2 linked regions of the Lytechinus pictus genome follow. Each later gene encodes a partner of the first gene's protein in a complex. Links are inferred from orthologs where the notes say so. Each region holds a gene or a part of one and is shown on either strand. Other genes may lie near its edges.

What was found. The genes of interacting proteins can lie anywhere in the genome.
Region 2: 26S proteasome regulatory subunit 6A (region 1) and proteasomal ubiquitin receptor ADRM1-like share a complex: the UniProt entries of both Caenorhabditis elegans proteins name them as parts of the 19S proteasome regulatory particle complex. The link is inferred for Lytechinus pictus from reciprocal best matches to the Caenorhabditis elegans genes rpt-5 and rpn-13.

The regions. Positions count from the first base shown.
Region 1 is NC_087250.1:14,967,299-14,978,060, forward strand, and holds the start of 26S proteasome regulatory subunit 6A, read left to right. Parts: upstream 1-5,684; 5' UTR 5,685-5,717; coding exon 5,718-5,771; intron 5,772-6,488; coding exon 6,489-6,614; intron 6,615-7,726; coding exon 7,727-7,834; intron 7,835-10,762. UniProt on the Caenorhabditis elegans protein: Component of the 26S proteasome, a multiprotein complex involved in the ATP-dependent degradation of ubiquitinated proteins.
Region 2 is NC_087245.1:15,501,135-15,512,008, reverse strand, and holds the start of proteasomal ubiquitin receptor ADRM1-like, read left to right. Parts: upstream 1-6,657; 5' UTR 6,658-6,765; coding exon 6,766-6,969; intron 6,970-10,874. UniProt on the Caenorhabditis elegans protein: May function as a proteasomal ubiquitin receptor. May promote the deubiquitinating activity associated with the 26S proteasome.

The DNA.
Region 1 (10,762 bases):
TATTCCCCTTTCAAAAGCAAATCCAGTCTCAAAATAATGAAACATGATTGAAAAGTTTCAAAATATTTTTTTTTTCTACAAAAGAAAAAAAAGAAACACTATAGATTTTGCATTTTAATTTAATAAGTCAACATTAATATTCCACTTCCAAAAGAATCCAGTTTCCAAATGATAAAACATGATTGAACAATCAAAGTAAAACATGTTCATGTTGACTCTATAACCTTAGGAGGAAAGTTTTTGTGACAAAATGTATATATTTAAATCAATATCAGAATAACCATCTATGGTATAATGACAGACATTTTCAGAAAAAGGCACAATATTATCAAGTGAAAAATTTAGATCCAGTTCAATCCAGCATGAACGACTCACTATCGACCACTCCTGTCACCAAGCCCTCCGCATCGGTTACCGGTAGCTCGACTGCCGAAAGACCGTCGGGAGCCCACCGCATCGGGCAGCTCGACTGCCGAGAGACCGGCTGTGACAAGGGTAGCTCGCGTCTCTTATATCTGGACTGCTCCACGATAGAATCTTTTTATTTGACTTTTTTTTTCAATTTGAATATATCTATAACAATAAGGATACATAATTGGATCGTAGTTCTACTTACCATAAAAAAAATTCGATCATTTGTGCATCCAAAAATTTGATGAACTTTCAAGCTCCGATATCCCCACTTCACAGGCGAGTATCCACATTGAAACTTTATATGTACAGAAAGAGCAAGTTTTCAACTGTCTGTATCAAGGCACGAGATTGCATCAACTATGTGCGCATGCGCATGAAACCCCATTTTCGATGAGCCGCCCAGACAGAGGTGATGCCACTTGCAGCAAAACCCGCGCGAAAACCGTGCAGCCAAAACCAGCGCTCGCGATGCGCCTGTATTCGCACATACCTATACATCCATAGGCCTATATAGAAAAAAAGAAAGAAAAGAAATATACAGGAAGAAGTGAGAAAGAAAATATTACAGATGCAATGATGTAGGTCATCTTTTGTAGGTTGGAAAAGAAAGGCCAAGGTTGCAATAAAATGAAATATAATTATAAAAAAAACAGAAAAAGAAAAGAATGAGAGAGAGGAGCCTGAACTAAGTAGAAGAAAGACATGAAAGAACTAAGATAGAAGAAAAGTGAAAAAAAAACTGGAAAGAAAAGGAAAAGCTTATCGAAAAGAAAAGGAAACAAATTCATGACAAAGTTGTCATTTTCTTACACTTTTTTTAAAATCTACACACAAAGATAATAATTCTGGCCAAACTTGATGCATCATGAACTTCCTTGTCACTTTGCAGCAGATATAGTTGGGCATCTCTTCTCAGTCAAAAACATGTTAGGTGGTTTGTCTCATGAAAATAATACCAGTGTCCTGTAACACAAACGCTAGCAATCATCATATGGGCAATTCCATGGAAAATGTTCACTTTAGAGAAATAAAATGAAGTTTCAGATCTCACTTAAGCAGTCATAGTTTCTTAAAAAGTAATCTATAAAGTTTCAATTTCCTATAGAAAAATCGCAATATTGACAAAATTTTGTAGTTTTTTCCATCATCAAAAAAATAGAATGGTAAATTGCAAAATCTAAAAATTGTGGCTATTTTTAAACAATTCATCTTTCCTGTCTCTACTAAAAGCAAATAAGGTCACAGAGGTCTCTTTTAACTTATGAATAGTTGATTAATGTTTACATCAACAGAAAATCATCAATTTTAGAGAAATCGATCTTCAGATTTGTGTGATTTCTTTATCATTATCAGTGTCATGTCCGTTACGTTTTTCACTTAAAGTTTTCACAGCTTTCAGGAAATTTGTCTGAAGGTACTGCAGATTCAGATTCTATGTTAGAATTAAACCCCCTACCATGTGTAGCAATCATTTTCCCTTACCACTTCTCATTTTCATAAAAATGGCGTAACTGACATGACAGGTTGCGTAACGGACATGACGCCTTATATATGACAAAAGGCAGCATTCACAAAAACAAAATATTAGGCTCAGTGTCACAGACTGAGGTCAGTCTCAATTGCTTGAGGATAGCTGGATGTAATAACTCCTAGAATCTGCATGTCATTCAAGCTATTTTTAGTAGTTGGTAAATGATGAAAGTTCAGCTCTTGTTCTGGTATATTTTTCTGAGAATTAACGGTATGCCACATAATATTAGGATAAGATGCAGCTAGATCTGGCAACATACTCAGATCACAATCTGCATCATTTGTGTTTGAACAATACAATTGATTATCTAATATGCTTTTCACACTGCACTTTTTGTCCTAAATTGTTGGGGCTAAGGGGGGGGGGGGGGTCTTAGCCCCACCAATTTCCCGGGGTTAAGCTTAGCCCACTTCGTTTTCACACTACGTTTTAGCAAAGTGGGCTAGCACGGTAAATAGTACGGTACTATCTGGCCCTGCAAAAAAGCAGGGTTAGCCGGCTTATTGTGGTGCTAGCACCACAATTGCGGTGCTAAGAGATGCAATGTGAAACGAAACAGGGCTAAGCAAAAGCGGGGCTAAGCATTAGCCAATCACAGAAGTCGAAATTGCACGTTAATCGCGCTCTGTATGGTAAAATCATCAATATTTATGAGCTGTGTGATTGCCCGGGGTTAAGGCGTAACCCCGGCTAAGCAATAGTACGGGGTTAAGAAAGACAGTGTGAATCGAAAAAAAGATAGTATGGGGTTAAGGATAGTCTGGGGTTAAGGAAATGCAGTGTGAAAAGCATATACTAGGTGTTTGCTGACAGTTTGGAGCATGATAAAATTCCAACTTGTGAATTCATGAGATCATTGATGATATTGCTTCAAAGTATCTGACTTTCACCAACCTCAAATTCTTCAGTGATGGCACGGGCTCACATTTAAAAACAAGTTTGTATTCAGATATCTGTGTTACATGATGCAGCTCTATGAATCCATGAATCTACAGTGGCACTTCTTTGCAATATCACAAAGCAAAGGGGCCGTGGAAGGAATGTGGTGCAATCAATAAATTATGTCATCATAGTATTTTGGTCAACCATAATCACGATTTGAATGATGTATCTTCATTTGTACACAAGCAGTGCAGACAATGCAACAAAATTAGATACAGCCAGTTGCCACATTTGTTAGCAAGCAAGATCGTAAGATTTAGAACATCCAAGATTTGATGAAAGGATGATTATACTCAGGATGATATTTATTTTGAATGAAAAAATATCTCAGAAGCAATTTACAAACATTCCGATTACTTTCAACTCATACATAATCGATAATGAAAGACTGGTTTCCAGGTACTGCTATTAAATTTTAAAATACTTTTTTATATCATTTTTTTTAATCTTAAAAGTGACATTAATACTAGTACATTCTTTATCACAAAATACATTTCATAATATATGTTCATCTTGGATTTATACAGGTCTGGTACATATTGTTTTCTTCTCACAAAAATGAGATTTGGTCTTCTCAGTGTGCCGTAGTGGTACTATGTAAGCATTGTATTCTATATAAAATTATCATGTAGGCTATAGCTATTAAATTAATAATACCTGCCAATAATATCTACATGTTTTTCATAAGAATGTTAGTAAAGGTACTTTGCTGTTACATAATTACATTCATTATTCATATTTCTTTCATTTTGATATTAAGAAATGCTGATGAAGTTCATCGTAAGGGTGTCATGTCCGTTACGCTAGTGTATATTGTCAAAGAGTAAGCCATGAATAAAAAATAATCTTTACTATCAACTTTTTCTCTTTTAATTAGGTGTGGCTGATGGTAGTAACTGGAAAATACTCATTAACTGTTGTTAACTGGTGTTAAAGACATTTTTCTAAAAATTTTTTGGTTTTATAAATATTGTACGAAAAGCCCCTCACTCAAATTGCAAAATAATAGGAGATATTACAGATTACCAGTTATGATGTGTGTCTCTAACCTCTAGCCTTAACATGTAAACAATAAGACTTGTACCATATCTTGTAATAACATAATTATATCCGCTTACAAAAAGTGGACGAAACTGTCATGTCCGTTACGCTTCATGTGTCATGTCCGTTACGCTACATTTTGAGCTATGAATACAGAATGCACTGCAAAACTGTTGTTAAACACCATTTTATGAACAGAGCATGATCTTAAGGTTAAATTAACACCAACATCAGGTGCATACGTTCTAAGAATTCACAGGAATATCGATGAGCCATAGGAGGTAAAAATGCTTCGTCCATTTCGTGTCATGTCCGTTACGCTCACAAAGAGTGCGATTTCTCCACAACTGTTCAACGAAACGATTTGAAATTTCATGTGTATGTAACTGATACTTAAATGTGTCTGATCTGCTCAGTAACAATTATCAAAAGACTGCTAATTCTACTGTATAAAGCTTTGAATTACAAAAATTTGTCTGAACGTCATGTCCGTTATGCTGGAATTGACCATATCTAACATTTCTTTTACAATTGATTGCATTGACTACAATGTACAATCACTCGTCAAAATCAAGCTTGCATCCTTTGGCAAGGTGTTTATCTACATTTGCCACTCTTCACCCAGGTGTGGTAAATGGGTACCAGGTACATGTAGGAAGGAATTCCTTGAATGCTTAAGCACCCAAGCAGGGTTGCAGTGGTAAAGCCGGGGTATTAGTATGCAGTGGTTTGAAACATTGTATTGAATAAATGTTGCATATCATTATTAATATTTGTGTGTAGTTTTCTTTAATTTTGGCTCACATGAGTACAGACACTACAGAGATAAGACTGGACACTTCAGTACATTAAAGGAGAATGAAACCCTTGAAACCATCTGAATCCATATAAAAGAGAAAAATCAAAGAAACATATTGTTGAAAGTTTGAGGAAGATTGAATGAATAATAAGAAAGTTATGAGCATTTGAATATTGAGATCACTAATGCCATGTAGATCCTCCCATTGGCAATGCGACCAAGATCTGTGATGTCACACACGTACAACTCCCTCATTACTTTAGTACTTATTTCACTTATATTCTCACTTTTATAGAGTCTATCACAAGGTGAGGTGTTCTCTTTATGAGAGGACAAGTACAGAGGTTTCACAACATTATATCATTGATGAATCGTTTGTCATATGATTAGAATGAGCAAAAAGAGATGTTTTGGGGTATATTTTCAGTGTCCAAAACTGGACAACTCTCCCCTTTTGGACACTGAAAATGTACCCCAAAACATCTCTTTTTGCTCATTCTAATCATATGACAAACGATTCATCATTGATATAATGTTGCGAAACCTCTGTACTTGTCCTCTCATAAAGAGAACACCTCACCTTGTGATAGACTCTATAAAAGTGAGAATATAAGTGAAATAAGTACTAAAGTAATGAGGGAGTTGTACGTGTGTGACATCACAGATCTTGGTTGCATTGCCAATGGGAGGATCTACATGGCATTAGTGATCTCAATTTTCAAATGCTCATAACTTTCTTATTATTCATTCAATCTTCCTCAAACTTTCAACAATATGTTTCTTTGATTTTTCTCTTTGATATGGATTCAGCTGGTTTCAAGGGTTTCATTTTCCTTTAAACTTGCATACATGTACGTCAGTAGTAACTTTTAAGAGTTAGAACATTTCTCATTAATATGCTAATGTGTTTTCTGTGTCCCTTAAAAATGCAAGTGGTAAAATTGAGTAATTTCTTTCCCCTAGGACTCCGTGGGTGAGGAGGTGTTACGAATGTCAACAGATGAAATCATAGGAAGGACAAGACTGTTAGACAATGAAGTCAAGGTGAGTGATGGAGGTTGTTTGAAAGAAATTTACTCTTCTATGGAAAATACATTATATGAAGCAGAAGGGGAGGAGAGGAGAAGAACAAGAAGGAGCAGGATAGGGAGAAGGAGAAAAGGAAGATGGGAAGAAGTAGAAAAAGAAAGAAAAGAAAAGGAAGTGGGAGGAGAGGAGTGGGAGAAGGAGAAGAAGGAGAAAGAGACGAAGGAGATGGAGAAGGAGAAGGAGAAAGGGAAGAAGAAGAAGGAGGAGGAGAAGGGGAAGAAGAAGAAGGAGAAAAAGATGAAGGAGAAAGGGAAGAAGAAGAAGCATCAGAAGAAGGTGGAGGAGAAGAAGGAGAAGGGGAAGAAGAAGAAGAAAATGGAGGAGGAGTAGACAAAAAAGGGAGGAGGAGGAAGAAGAAGAAAATGATGAGTAGGATTAAGAGAGAAAAGGATGATGCAGAGAAAGAGTATAATTAACTTTGTATAGTGTGTTTGCCTTGTATTATTTTATTGTTTTGTTTGTTAAGCTTTATTTTTGTTAATATTGCCTTTTATTACAATAAATCTGATCTGTTTTTAATAAGTTGTAAATATTGTAATTTTACCTTGATTATGATTTTTGATTTAATAAAACATACAAATATAAAAAGGAGTATAATTATCATGTGATAAAGACAAACATTCTTGACATTTTGTTCTTTTCATATTCAATTTGTCATTTCCATCCATGCAGATAATGAAGAGTGAAATCATGAGGATACAGCATGAACATCAAGCACAAAAAGACAAGATCAAAGAAAATGAAGAGAAGATTAAAGTCAACAAGACCCTGCCATATTTAGTTTCCAATGTTATTGAGGTAAGTCTGATAGGACTCCATATTAGCCTTCCTTTTCTTGTTTGTGATGAAGTTTATTGATTTGTAAGTTTTTTTTTTTAGTAGGGTGGCTCCATCAGTAATTGGCATACTTTTTTCCTGGGAGGCCCTACAACAAAAATACAAACATAACAGACATAATTATGAAAAGTGTACAATGTGAAATTATGACGAACAAACTGTAAGGAAGAGAACAACACAAAGGGCCGGTTTATAAATTAAGGCTATTATAATGCCAAAATAAAAGACTAAATGGGGATTCTGATCAGGCAGTTCTTAAAACATTACATGTAGGTGAATTATTCCAAATGAGTGCACCAGCAATAGAAAAACTTGTCTTCATTTCCGTTCGAACTTTGGGCAAAATCAAACCTGTGCTTTGTGCACTACGAGTACGAATACTATGTACAGTTTCAGAGTTTTCAAAAGATATTTAACAAATAGTCTGAATTTTGACTAAGGAAAACAGAAAATATCATTTTACATTTAAAATAATTCCATCGATCTTCGATGGGAATCCATTTTAGTGTGCTTAAATTAATTCGGGTAGGAGTTCTTAGATTGTCTTTCAGGATTACTCTGGCCATTTTTTTTTGTGTTGTTTAATCATGACATCTTTTGTATTTAAAGTTGATCAACTTCATATTGAAATTAATACTTGAAAGTCTGCATATATGCAGGTGAACAACAAGACTTAGCCATATTTATTTTCCAATGTTGTAGAGATAAGTTGTGGACGACCCACCTTTCTTGTTTATGATAAAGTTGATTGACCTTGTTTTGAAATTAATACAGTAAAATTTGCAAAAATCAGGCGTGGTTCCAGAGTGAGACTTTTTTTGTGCAAAATTTGTCCGAAAACTTTTTTAAGCAAGAAAAATTCTGTCTTCCGAAAAATTTGACAAAGAAAGAAAAGTAGTATTCGCTTGCTGCTTGTTGGTAAACTTGTCAAATGTAACGATTGTTCGAGTTTTACTCCCAGGCCTACCGATAATCACTCACATGTGAGATGAGAATTATCACTTGGCATAAATTAATTATAACATTATGAATAGTTTTAACATGACCCTGTCTTGTCGATGACTTTTAATCAGCTCCTTGATGTCCAACCAGACGAGGATGAAGAGACGGAGGGAGCGAATGTTGATCTGGACTCACAACGGAAAGGAAAATGTGCTGTAATCAAGACGTCAACAAGACAAGTAAGATTATGGGAGAGTGAAGGGGTGGGAAGGGGGTGGGGTGAGGGAGGAGATAGAGAAAGAGGAAACTTATGGGATTGACAGAACAAATGTTGATCTGGACTCACAACGGAAAGGAAAATGTGATCAAGACATCAACAAGACAAGTAGGACACCATTCTCACTACCTTCCTAAAATTAGTTTACTGGAAACTAGTTTAGTGGAAACTAGTTCAACGTGTAATGAGAACGGTCGAAGCTATCTTCCAAACCGGTTCATAAAACCACCTCACGGTGTAGTTTTCAAGATCGCTTTGCCTTGTTCAACTGGTTTTGGTGTAAGTGAGGACACAACCGTTCTTCGGGAAGCGATATTCGCACATTTTGAGCGTGCTACTCCACACGACACTCGACAGGTGTAGAATGCCTACGCTGCGGTTTCGTATTTCGCGCGAAACGTGTCACCCCACTGAGAGCGTTTCCATAGCAACAATATCGCTTTACGTGAAGTGATTTTGTAAACCACTTTCGTGTGATCAAATGGGAACGCTAGCAAAGGGGTCTTCCAAACTGGTTTCCTGAACCAGTTTCCAGTAAACTAGTTTTAGAAAGCGTAATGAGAACAGTGTCTAATATCATGGGGGTGAAGGGATGGGAAGGGAAGGGTGGGGAGTGAAGGGGGAGATAAAGAAAGAGGAAAATTATGGGATTGACAGAAAAAATGCTGAAGTAGATTCACAGAGGAGAGGAAAATGTGCTGTGATCACGAGGTGCTGTGATCACGAGGTCAACAAGACAATTAAGAATATGGCGAGTGAATGGGTGGAGGATTGGGGGGGGGGGGGTTAAAAGAGGGGAAAGAGTGAACAGGGTAAGGGGAAGATGGAGGTGGGGAGTAGAGAGGGAAGGGGAGAAAGATGATTGGTGACAGAGTGAATGTTGATCTCGGCCCCATAACACAAACGTTAGCGATCAATCGCTCATTTGAAAGAACAATTCTGATTGGTTCCTAGTCAGTGCACTGAGCAAATGTGCATGCAACGATGATCTGGATTGGCCATTCCATTTAGCAATTAATCGCCAACTCCCTTGTGTAACTTGACCCTGGACTCAACGAGAAATTTGAGGAAATGAAGTTGAAGGCCGAGAAGATTGAAAAGGAGAACAGAGAACTGAGGGAGCAGAACATCTGTCTTCAGAAGAGGTTCAGTGAGTTGACCTTCCAGCTTAACGATCTTGACCAGTACCACAGGAGAGTCAACTTGGAGGTGGCAGGTGTACCAGAACGACCGGGAGAGGTTCCTGAAAGGATCATACTCAATATTGCAAAACACATCAGCCCAGAGCTTGCAGCATCCGACTTCGATGTGGTTCATCGGCTGGGTTCCAAGCGCCAAGCTGATAACAGAGCCCGTCCAATCATCGTGCGATTCACCACAAGACGTGCTCGGAACATCATGTATGATGGAAGAAGAAAGCTGAAGACCCTCAGCACAAAAGATCTTGGATACAACAGCGATGGCAAAATCTACCTCAATGAAAACTTGATCGCTTCCACTAAGGAGCTAATGAAAGATCTCAACAAGGCCCGCCGAGATGCCGGATACAAGTTCTTGTGGACCCAGAATGGCCGAATCTATGTAAGGAAGGATGAGAAGTGTCAACCCATCATCATTCATTCCAGAGAGGACTTTTCCAAACTGTAGTAGGACTATCCTTTATCCATTCCATGTTATTCGATTTTCCAGTATTCTTTTCATTTATTATGAAATTCTCGTCCCAAAATTTTTCGCATTGTTCAATATCTGTGTTATTTTCCGTGGTGTATTTTGCATTCCTTCACTGCCCTTTCAATAATGTTTCAATACCAGACATTTTATGGAGGTCATTTTACTTATTTTTGTGTGCAAATATTCTTCATCGCCCGTTAATAATTGTATTAGATAATCTTTATTTTGTTAACTATTACAACTGTAGTATTTTCCGAACTCGAATTTTGGGTCATGATGGTATCAAATCTAAAAAATGCTTTATATGCTTAGCTTACAAAGATTTTGTTTTAAAATGGCAATATATTATATTTCATAATGGTGGATAATATGCGTGATTTCCCCTTTTATCATCTGAATAATGATGATTTCTTATTACTAAATCATCAAGATAAAAGCAATGTTATCTCAAATCATTATACTCCATTTCAGCATTTGATAGATTTTCTACTGATATTCTTACAAATAATTTTGATGAACTTCAAGTTGAATTCGATATTCATGATAAAGCATACAATCTTTCCTCTTCTCCATATTATACAGAAAATTCATTCAAAGACTATGCTAAATTGATTGGAGAAGATGATGTTTTTATTTTGCATTTGAATATAAGAAGCGCTAACCAAAACTTCGAGAAATGACGATTATTATTAGAAAATACACAGTTTGCCAATCCCCCAATTATTGCTCTTACTGAAACTTGGTTCACGGAAACCCCAAATTCCTTATGCACCCTCCCGAATTATGATATTGTTATAAACAATAGGAAAAATAAAATTGGAGGTGGACTAGCATTATATATTCCGTCTTCATTTGATTATGCAATTAGACATGAATTTGAATATATGAATGAAATCATCGAATCCTTATTTGTAGAAGTAAAAATTCAAAAAGATAAGAAAACTCTAATAGGTGTCATCTACAGACCTCCTCAAACTTCTTGTATAGAAGATTTTTTACTTGCTACTAATGAACTTTTGCAAAACGGAGAATTGATAAATAACAATTGTATCATCACTGGTGATTTCAATATTAATCTCTTGACCAGTAATCACTCTTTAACAAATGATTTCCTTGAATTAATGTTATCTTCTACTTTTTTGCCTATTATTTCTAGACCAACCCGTATTACTGATCATTCTGCTACGCTTATAGATAATATATTCTGTAACTCTCATCC
Region 2 (10,874 bases), on another chromosome or scaffold:
AGATTCAGAGTCGGGAATTCAACTGAACAACATAACTTGAATTGTTATCTTTCAATTCACAGTGGTTTTAAAAATTCAGTTATGATTTTTAAACAAAAGATTCTGCTCCGGATATGCAAGTCTAAAAGTAAAATCGCAAAAGACAAAAAGACTTTTTTATAGTTAATCCTTTTTTCAACATCAAAAATGATTTTAGATGAGAATGAAACAGTTGATATTTGACCACTATATAATTTTTTTATAATTTGAAATAGCACATGAAATAATGGAGTAGTCCCTAAACCGAAAGCAAGGTATACTAGTATAAGATTAGATTATAAGCGCAAAATAATTTTGATGTAGACAAACTTCGCCCTCCAGAGGAACACTCTTTGTTTGCGTGAATGAATAAATATTTATTTATCGCGATATTGATTACTTTGATGCAAATGAAATGGAAAAGATTGCAAAACGGAAAGCAGGTAACATCTAGAGCTGAGGTAATAACAACATTTGAAATAACAGTCATTAATAGGTGTGATATTGTCATGTCAATGTGTTATTTTAAGTGTAGTATAATCTTTAAACATATGGAAATGTTGATGGAACAGTTTAGATGAACGACAATAGGAACTCATCACTATACATTTTCCCTGAAGCATCGGTTTTATTTTCATCCAAACCGCTTCCATCTCCCCACAGGTGAACAGGACCCCCACGTATTTTACGCAATTTTATGAAATAGAGATCAAAATAACCAAGTATATAGTTTTTGGAATCGTACAATTCATAATTGTCACTTATAAGCATACTTTCTTGATTCAATGCATAAAAATGTCATTCATAGGAATTTTCAGGGGCAAATTGTGTTTATAGAATGTAAAATTTTGTCATTTTAAGCATTGTGATGCCATGCACACTGAATAGATTCGTACGATCTAAACAAATATCTCATGACCCTGTTGTATACCATTATATAATGATTTGAAATATCTGAGTTTCCTTCTGTGAAAATATTTTTCTGTATCACGCATTAAAAAAACACTCTTGATCTTTTAAGTAAATGGAATTAATATTTAGGGAGTGGAAGATGTCATCCTTTTTGCTCTTGAAAAATATCGCTCTGACAATCAGCTCCCTCCCATGCTAATGCACTTCACCCCTTTGAAAAGAAATTGCCGCCATTTGCTTAATTATGTAATGCGAACGTAAGGACCATTTTTTTTTCCAATCATACATGCATGGTCTTCTGTAACAAGGATATACTTTCCTTTTCATATACAATAATTATCAGTCGTGATGTAATGGACAGATGTCCCCGGGGGACGTTTCATGATGGGTTGTCAGGAGGATATAGTGTTCGAGGGACTGTCCTTTCCGGAACCGTTCGTTTCAAATAGACAGAAGCGTAATCAACAAACAAAAAATGAGGGGCACAAAATGGCAGATGGTGCAAAGTTTTCTAAAAACGAGCGAGAGAAAAAAAATACCTGTTCAAAATGCAGATGTTACTTTGTATTAGATTTGAACATAATATCCCGAAAAATGAAACAAATTTTATTAAAGTTTTCTGTCATTTTCTTTCTTTATTTTTTGTGTGAATCATTTTGTGTCCAGTACCCCCAAGCCCCCCCCCCCCCTCCATAATGTGTACAAAGTAATAGGATCGCATTTTGTAATTGTGATGTTAATGAAAGAATAAATCATTATATAACCAAGGCATGTTTCGAGTCAGGTGTGTTATTATCAATAGTACATGGCGCCTTACACAGCGGGGGGGGGGGGGGGCAGTTTTCTCACTCCCACCCCTCTCCCTGAAAACTTGCAAATTTCATTTTCACAAAATTCACCAAAAGTGTGCACGAAATGTAGTTTCATTTGAGAAATACATAAGCATCTCCATCTTCGATTTTTGTTTAGATGCGTCTTGTCACCCCCCCCCCCGGAAAAAATTACTTTTAAGAAAAAAAATATATATAAAGGGAAGACGATAGGAAAAGACTGAGAGAGATCAGAGGCTGGAGGGGGGAGGGGGTAGGGAGAGATCATGAGAGGGAGAGGAGGGTGAGAGAGGGGGGAAGAAGGGTATTGGAAATTGGAATATAGTTGAGAATAATAGATAACATATTCAATTATTCAACTATTGAATTATTGAGTCGAAAAGGGGTTCCCAAGTGGAGAAAACATTTTAAAATAGCAAAATGGAGCAAGAGAGAGAGAGAGAGTGGCTGGGTGAACGAGGGGACGAAGAGAGGACGTTTCTATACAGTGCGTATCAAAATAAAGTTTACACAAAGTGTGAAGAAACAAGTATTAAATGAAAAATGAAATGTAAACCCACTTTAAATGACACAAACTTAGTGAAAAATGCTGGAGATGTCTGATATAAACTTTTGTTCAGATTCAGTTATGTCCTCAGATCCAGCTGGCACAAAAAGGGTAAATGTTGTGTTTACTAAGTGTTGAAATTTCAATTTGGGTGGCAAAGTTGTTACAAAATGCTTGAATGTATCCATTTTAATTCAATTGACTTAGAGTGCAAGGGAAATGTAAGAGAAATGTTTCGCAGGGTAAGTTTGATGTCGCCCTTTCCCCTTGACACAGCGTGAAAACGAGCATTTCTGCGCAAACAGATTTCTGCGAGCTTTACAAAAATGGACAGTGCTCACTCAAGTGTAACATTCTGCCAAAACTTTTACTTTCATTGGATAGATGAGACCCAAACCCAAGATTATATGTGAAGAAATTACCCACATGTTGTATTTTTTTTTTTAATTCCCAGGGCTTTTTCAAAGTGTAAATTTTTTTTTGATACGCACTGTATAGGCAATAATAATAATAACTTTCAATACGATGTAACCATGCATGAGATCAAGCTTATATGATATCGAATTATTTTCCTTCATATAACATAATGTACTTTGCCTTTTCTTGATATGTCCCTTTTTTTAATGTGATCAATAAGTAATAGGCTCAATACTGCACCGTGATAGCCTTTACTGTCTACTCGATGCATGTTCTGGCATTTCATTCGAGACTATAGGCGCCGCTTTTCCGACGGCGGGGGTGTCGTCAACATTGAAATCTTAACCAACTATACATGTATAAGATTAAGATAATGACATGTCATCATAACTTAGAAAGTGTATGAACCTATTTCATGAAACTTGGAAATAAGGGTAATCAAGTATCATTGAACATCCTGCTAGAGTTTCAGGTCACATAGGTCACATGACCAAGGTCAAAGGTCATTTTTTGTAAAGAAGGCCTACCTGTTAGGGTCAAGATCATGTTGGGGGAATCAACATCGAAATCTTTACCAATAAAGTTAAGTTTTTGAAATATCGTCATAACTCAGAAAGTATATGGACCTAGTTCATGAAACTTAGACATAAGGATAAGGGTGTATCTCTCACTGGCGTAAATCCCGGGGGGGTGGGGGGATATATCCCCCCACTTTTCGAGGAGGGGGGGTGGCCTGTACAAACATCCCCCCACTTTTTACGAAAGAAATGAAAAAAAAATCACAAGAGATAATTGTTTTATTGGTGAAAATTCTTCCTGAAATACCGCTTAACAAATAAAACAATATTATTGAATCATAAAATGCAAATAAAGAGCCAGTTCACAATTTCCAAACGAAATACTTATGTCCTTATTATAACATTGAAGAGAAACTCCCGTTTCTTCCAATTCATCAATGTTGGGGTCTTTGGGAAGGGATTAAGATGGAATGTCAATTCTTTTTTAATGTAATCTCTAATAAAACCATTAAACCATCATGGGGTAAAAAAGATAATAATATTGGAGGGGTATTTGCCATATGGACATACAGTGGCGTAACTACGGGGGGGGGCATGGGGGCACATGCCCCCCCATCGGCTGACAATAAAAAACGGGGAAAAGGGGAAAAGGAGAAAAGAGGGAGAAAGGAAGAGAAGCGTATAGTGGGAAAGAAGAAAATATTATTCATTATAATGTTATATTATAATTATGTTATGTTACATTACATAAGAAACTTTTTTATCATAACTTCATGAAACAAAATTTGCCCAGGGCCTACGTCTTCATTGTTCCTGGTGCTTGCATTGTCTGTTAACGAGATATATAATCATGTTGTACTGAAACATCCCGTTTTCAAGTCAATATAAACCAAATATATTTCCTAGCACTTGAGTTATCATTGTTTTATGTAGTGACATATGCTTCTTTTTCATGACTCAAAAAGTGATTACCCCATGTTAAGGTCTTCGTATATATGAAACATTTCCTGTCCGTGATTACGTTCGCATTAGTGGATTGGTGAGATATGTCTGCTCTTCATGAATTCCTAAAATCAGTCCTTAAAATGTCCCTTCTTCTGATCTAAATATCAAAAATTTTCAGCTCGCGCTTCGCGCTCACATCATTTGGATATTGAAATACGTATGGTCCTGGTTAATTCCTACAAAGAAACCTTAGAATGCCCCACTTCAGGTCTGAATTATCTGAATTTTCAGCTCGCGCTTCGCGCTCGCAATATTTGATTAGTGAGATGCGTATGATGATCATGATTGCAATGACTACAAAAAGTGTTTCATGTGTTCAGATGTAATTCTTATAAACCAGCAAGCGCTTGGCACTCGCATTAGATGAATATGGTCATGATGGTGAGATGTGCATACTCTTAATGGATTCCTAAAATATATTCCTCAAAATCTCGCTGTTTGGGGTCAAAATATACGAAAACTTCAGCTCGCGCTTCGCACTCGTATTGTTTAGCGAGACAGGTACCTATCATGATTACACAAATTTGATTATAATGTCTCTTTTTAGGTGTGAATTTTAAAAAATTCAGCTCGCGCTTCGCGCTCGCATTATTTGATCAGTGAGATGCATATCCGTTTAATGATATTGTCCAGAAAATGTATCTATTAGGTCAGTATAACTGGCAACTGAGCGCGCTCATTCAGTGATTCAAACATTTTGCTGGTGCCCCCCTCCCCAATGCCGTGACCCACGGTACGCCACTGTGGACATATCAATGACAATTCCTTGCATATCTAAAAACATGATTGCAAAAAAAAACCCAAAATATTTCAGTCATCCCCCACCCATCAACACGGATTTACGCCAGTGGTATCTCTAAAGATCCTAACTGAATTTCGGGTCACATGACAAAGGTCAATATGGTCAAAGAACTTTTGCTATGCCATTTGTGGAAATTGTCATCATAACTTTGAAATTTTATAGATCTAGTTCACACTGGCGTAAATCATTGCGTCACACCTATTGTTCAGGGGGGACGGAACAATAGATCATCCCCCCTGAACAACAGGTGTGACGCAAGGATTTACGCCAGTGCTAGTTCATGAAACTTGGAAATAAAAGCAATCAAGTATCTCTAAATATCCTGTACGAGTTTCAGGTCACAAGACCAAGGTTATAGGTTGACGAACTTTGGTAATGTTGGGGTAGGACCTATTTGTGTAATTTTCATCATAACTTTAGAAGTTTATGGATCTAGTTCATGAATCTTAAACATAAGAGCAACCATGTATCCCTACACTATTGGAGAAGGAGAGGTGATGCCATAACAGTGTTCAAAATTCTCAAGGGAATGGTGAGACTGGACCCAAGTCAGTTCTTCACCTTATCTGTATTTTGTTGAAATTTTATGGATCTACTTCATGAAACATAGACGTAGGGGTAATCAAATATGAATGATTGTTTTTCACACGTCATAGGTCACATCATCATGGTCAAAGGACCTATATATTTTATTATCATATGAATGTTTCTTTTGTGAATAATTATTCAATAGCTGTTTTCAAAGTCAGCACTGCTTCGAATCGCGTAATGCAGTCGAGACTGCCAGAGGTGTTCCACTTGTTACTCTCCGCCCTCGGGGGGGGGGGGGCCACTTCCATTGACGAGTGGATACCATGCGCGACCATGGGGTCTCGAAAAGCACCCTAAACACGTATTTTCCATATTCTGAAAATGCACCCCTTAACAAGTATTGGTGTGTGAAACCCTACTCTTAACAAGTATTGGAAACAAAACAATACTCTTGGCAAGTATTCCCTGAATTGACCCCCTAAACAAGTACAACGATACTTTTATTGTTATGTGCACTGTCGTCGGTTTTACCTGATTGGGTTTAGTACAGCCCCTGCACATCTCGCGCAAAATCATACTCTAAACAGTGTTGACTCTTGGGGCAAAAAGTACATCCTTTATAAAACATTTTAGTCTTAATTTTTTTACACCCTCGCAAATTTGACCCTAAACACGAAGCTTTCCTAGCAAAAATAGATACCGTTTTTTCATTATTTTAGTGTTTTTGACACCCTTATTACGTTACGTACGTAACGTGCCCTATCTTGAAAAAGACATCCTTTTTACGTGTTTTTTTGGTCGCGCATGGTATCCACTCGCCAATGTAAGTGGCCCCCCCGGGCTCTCCGCTCTCTCTCTCTCTCTCTCTCCCTCTCTTTACAGATGAAATATGACAAGGCCTGTAAGTGTAAGGTACATATTACTTTTTGATATTCATTATTTCGACGATTCTGTTCTTACATGGATGGAATTTGAAAAGGGTTCAAACATAAGAAATGTAATTCAAGATAACGACGAGATGGGTTAACACGAGAACTCCGTGTTTTCCTTTTTCATTGGCCCATCAAAAACACCACATTTATCGAAATTTCGCATTGTCACTTACAAATTCTCATCATCAGTGAGATCTGCCGTAATTTTTACAGTTTACGTGAATATATTTGCCTTGTTGTAACCAAGTCAATCATGTCTGGAGCATTATTTGGAAGTTCCGCTACCGGAGGTCGTCCATCCAGTAAAAATCTGGTGGAATTTCGAGCTGGTAAAATGGAATTGAAAGGAACGACTGTGACTCCCGACAAGAGAAAGGGTCTTGTCTTCCTTCACCAGCCCGACGATACGCTCATGCACTTTTGCTGGAAAGACCGCACATCTGGCACAGTTGTGGACGTAAGTCAATAACACTAACGTAACAAGTAACATGACGTGGTAGGATGCTAATATTAATACTAAAGCATTAAAATTATTGGAACCCAGAAGGGATGGGGGCATTGGCGGCGGAAGCCAAAAAATTTAGGGGGGGGTCCACCTGAAATTTAGTAATGTACACAAACAGTGACAAATAAAAATTTTGACAAGCAAAAAAAAAAAAAAAAAAGGTCATCAACTAAAAATTTGGGGGGCGGGACCTGTCCCCCCCCCCCCCGCTTCCGCCGCCTATGGATGGGGGCGGGGTCATCATGAGGGGGGGTTACCTAGACAGCTGGCAGCCGTCTGTTTCGAGGAGTTTTTTAACTTTTTTTTTTTTTTTTAATTTCTCCTCGTACACAGACGGCTCGCTAGCGTGCAGCCACCATTAGGGGACTTGCAATGCAAAATCCCCCCGTCGGGGCTCTTCAATTTTTGTCTTTAATGAATAAAAATTTTGAAAATTAACGCGACCAAAATGCAAATTAATATTCCCTCTTGGCATTAATTGCAAAAAAACAGAGAAAAATCAAGTTAAAAGGAAAAAAAACAATGACTTACCTCGGCTGTCGCACAAATTCACTTCCCCGTTTTATCCGATCTTAAGTACATAAACATATGGCCATTGAGTCCCCTGTACAGATCGCGCTAGAACTTCGGTCTCTGTATTTGGTGAGTGAAGCCAACGGAGTTCAGCTGAACAACCAACATAACAGAGACCGAAGCTTTTGGTCTAGGGGTTACCTAGCCAGGAGGCTTCTAGAGAGCACTCCTAGTAGGATGGGGGGTGGGGTGTCCGGACACTTAATATTTTTGAAGCCTTCTTTTTTGTCTTTGGATTACACTAAAAATACGAATTCAATAGTTGTAATCATCTTCTGTTTTGTTCTCTATAATATTACCTAACATTTCGTACTAAACATTTTATGAAACTTTGCTTGTAAATTTTTCCAAATGACTTTCTAAAACTGATCGTCCGGACACACAACCTGTCCGGACACACAACAACTGGGTATACTGTAGTAGTACCAATGAGGTCCAAACATTACATGTATGGACCTCATACTTATACTAGGCGACATCTGTAGTATTTTGTGTCGGAAATCTTTGTGAAGATGATTATTTGTGTATTATAACACAAGTACGAGCTATCGTACTGTCTATTCATTAAATTTTTGTTTAAGAAAGTTAAAGCATTGTTAGCAATTAAAAAAAATTGAAAGAAATGAAGGGGAACTTACATTTTGACGACTTTTTCCAGATTTTATTGCCAGTTGCTCTTCACTTCTGACTCGCGATCGAAGCTGATATGCAGATCACGTGATACGCGTTCTCGTCAGCTGATCGGTTGGTTATTCTTTTCGCCAGACGTTGATAATTATATATTTCATAATGCTAGCATTTATCGCAAATTTAGGTAAAAGAGATTGAATTTAAACAGCGCAAGCTTTAATTTTCTCAAAAATAACATTTAATTGATTGCACAAGTTTCGCCTTGGAACAAGTAGGATCATTTGGTCCCATGTTTGCGTAACTACGGGGGGGGGGGGGGGGTGGGGGCGGGGTGTCCCTACCACTATACACCCACTAGCCAGCAATTATAGTTTTTTCTCTTTTTTTTAACCAAAATACCTCCCCCCCAAAAAAAAATAAAAATAAAAATAAAAATAAAAAAAATAGGGTTAAAGAGAAAGAGAATTGAGGAACACAATATGCTTTATATTTTCCTCTTTTACTGTTTAACGAGACTTGTAATCAAATATTAAATGGGGCTGTATTAGAACAGCCTTTTTTAAGTCAATTAATAAAAAATATTCCTCCTCGGGATTTGAGCTTTCATGAAATATGAATCTTTTTCATGACTACCGAAAGCGCTAAAAATGTCAAAATTTTTAATTGGTATATAAAGCTTTAGCTCATGCGTTGCGCCCGTCTTATTTTAATGTTATACAATTTTATGCTTTTAATGAATTTCTAATTCTCAGATCTTGTCGCAATCCGATTGGTAGCTATAATGAATGATTATTATGTTTCATGAATTGTTCAAAATGTGTCTCTCTATCAGTTTTGAATATTTAAAAAAATGTCAGCTCATGCTTTTTGCTCGCAATATTTTGATTAGTAAGAATTTCTTCTCTTGTATATATTATGCGAGTTTGAGTAAATAACTAGAGAGAGAGGGGGGGGTCCCTCAGCTACTTGTCCTCGCTTATTCCCAATTTTTTTTTATATTATACTCGTGTTCAGAGTGTTTCAAAGTCTTTTCTGATTTTTTTAACACTTTTTATTGTCTCGGAGCTTCCCTCTATTTTTTTTAACTATGATGTAGCCCATTTTACTTGTTTCAATTCTTTTATGTCTCATTTCATTGAAAACATAATTATTAAACTGACTGACTTTATTACGAAATTTTGATATTATATTGTCTTGTTTGTTTGGCTTTCTTTTTTTCTTCTTATCCTTCTTACTTTTTCCATTTCCTTATTTTCTCTTTTATTTCATTTCATGAGGCATCCGCCAACTTATATACAACAACAACAAACATTTTTATTTGGTGGTGTGCCCCTCTAAAAAGGGAGGAAAATAGGAAGGAAAAAAAGAAGAAGGGAAGGGGAAAAAAAAAGAAAAAAAAAGAAAGATGATGATGATGAAAATTATCTTGGTGATGATGATGGTGGTGGTGATGGTGGCGGTGATGATGATGATGATGATGATAATGATGGTGGTAGTGGTGATGATGATGAGAATGAAGTTGGTGATGATGGTGATGATGAAGACTAGATGTAATTTTGTTATTTTGTCTTTGAAAAAATTAAGTAGTGCATAGGTGAATTTATTTAAAGTTAATTATGAAAATAGCAGAAAAAATAATTTGAAAAATTGGTATGCGTTCAGGAAAAATCCATCCCCCACCAAAAAAAAATTAAAGGTGAGATTTTAAAAATAATTATTTGTGACGGCGTAGGCCTTTGCGAGCATCTATATCGGATATAATTATGGTAAAAAGTAAATGAAATGTCAAGAAATACGTGATAATGACTTTTATTGTACATTCAGTATATCAATAGATAACTTCATACTCTCTCCAAAAAGAAAAAAGTGGGTCATTACGGACCATTAAAAATGGGAAATTTTGGCATTTTATATTACATAGAATATTGAGCAACTGCTCGTTTATGACGTCACAAATCAAGCATTCGAAATTCTACTAACTCCATTTTTGTCTCACCTGCATAGCAGAGTGAGACTATAGGCGCCGCTTTTCCGACGGCGGCGGCGGCGGCGGCGTCAACACCAAATCTTAACCTGAGGTTAAGTTTTTGAAATGACAGCATAACTTAGAATGTATATGGACCTAGTTCATGAAACTTGGCCATAAGGTTAATCAAGTATTACTGAACATCCTGCCTGAGTTTCATGTCACATGACCAAGGTCAAAGGTCATTTAGGGTCAATGAACTTAGACCATGTTGGGGGAATCAACATCAAAATCTTAACCTAAGGTTATGTTTTTGAAATGTCATCATAACTTAGAAAATATATGGACCTAGTTCATGAAACTTATACATAAGGTTAATCAAGTATCACTGAACATCCTGCATGAGTTTCACATCACATGACCAAGGTCAAAGGTCATTTAGGGTCAATGAACTTTGGCCGAATTGGGGGTATCTGTTGAATTACCATCATAACTTTGAAAGTTTATGGATCTGATTCATGAAACTTGGACATAATAGTAATCAAGTATTACTGAACATCCTGTGCAAGTTTCAGGTCATATGATCAAGGTCAAAGGTCATTTAGGGTCAATGAACTTTGGCCAAATTGGGGTATTTGTTGAATTACAGCCATAAATTTGAAAGTGTGTTGGTCTAGTTCATAAAACT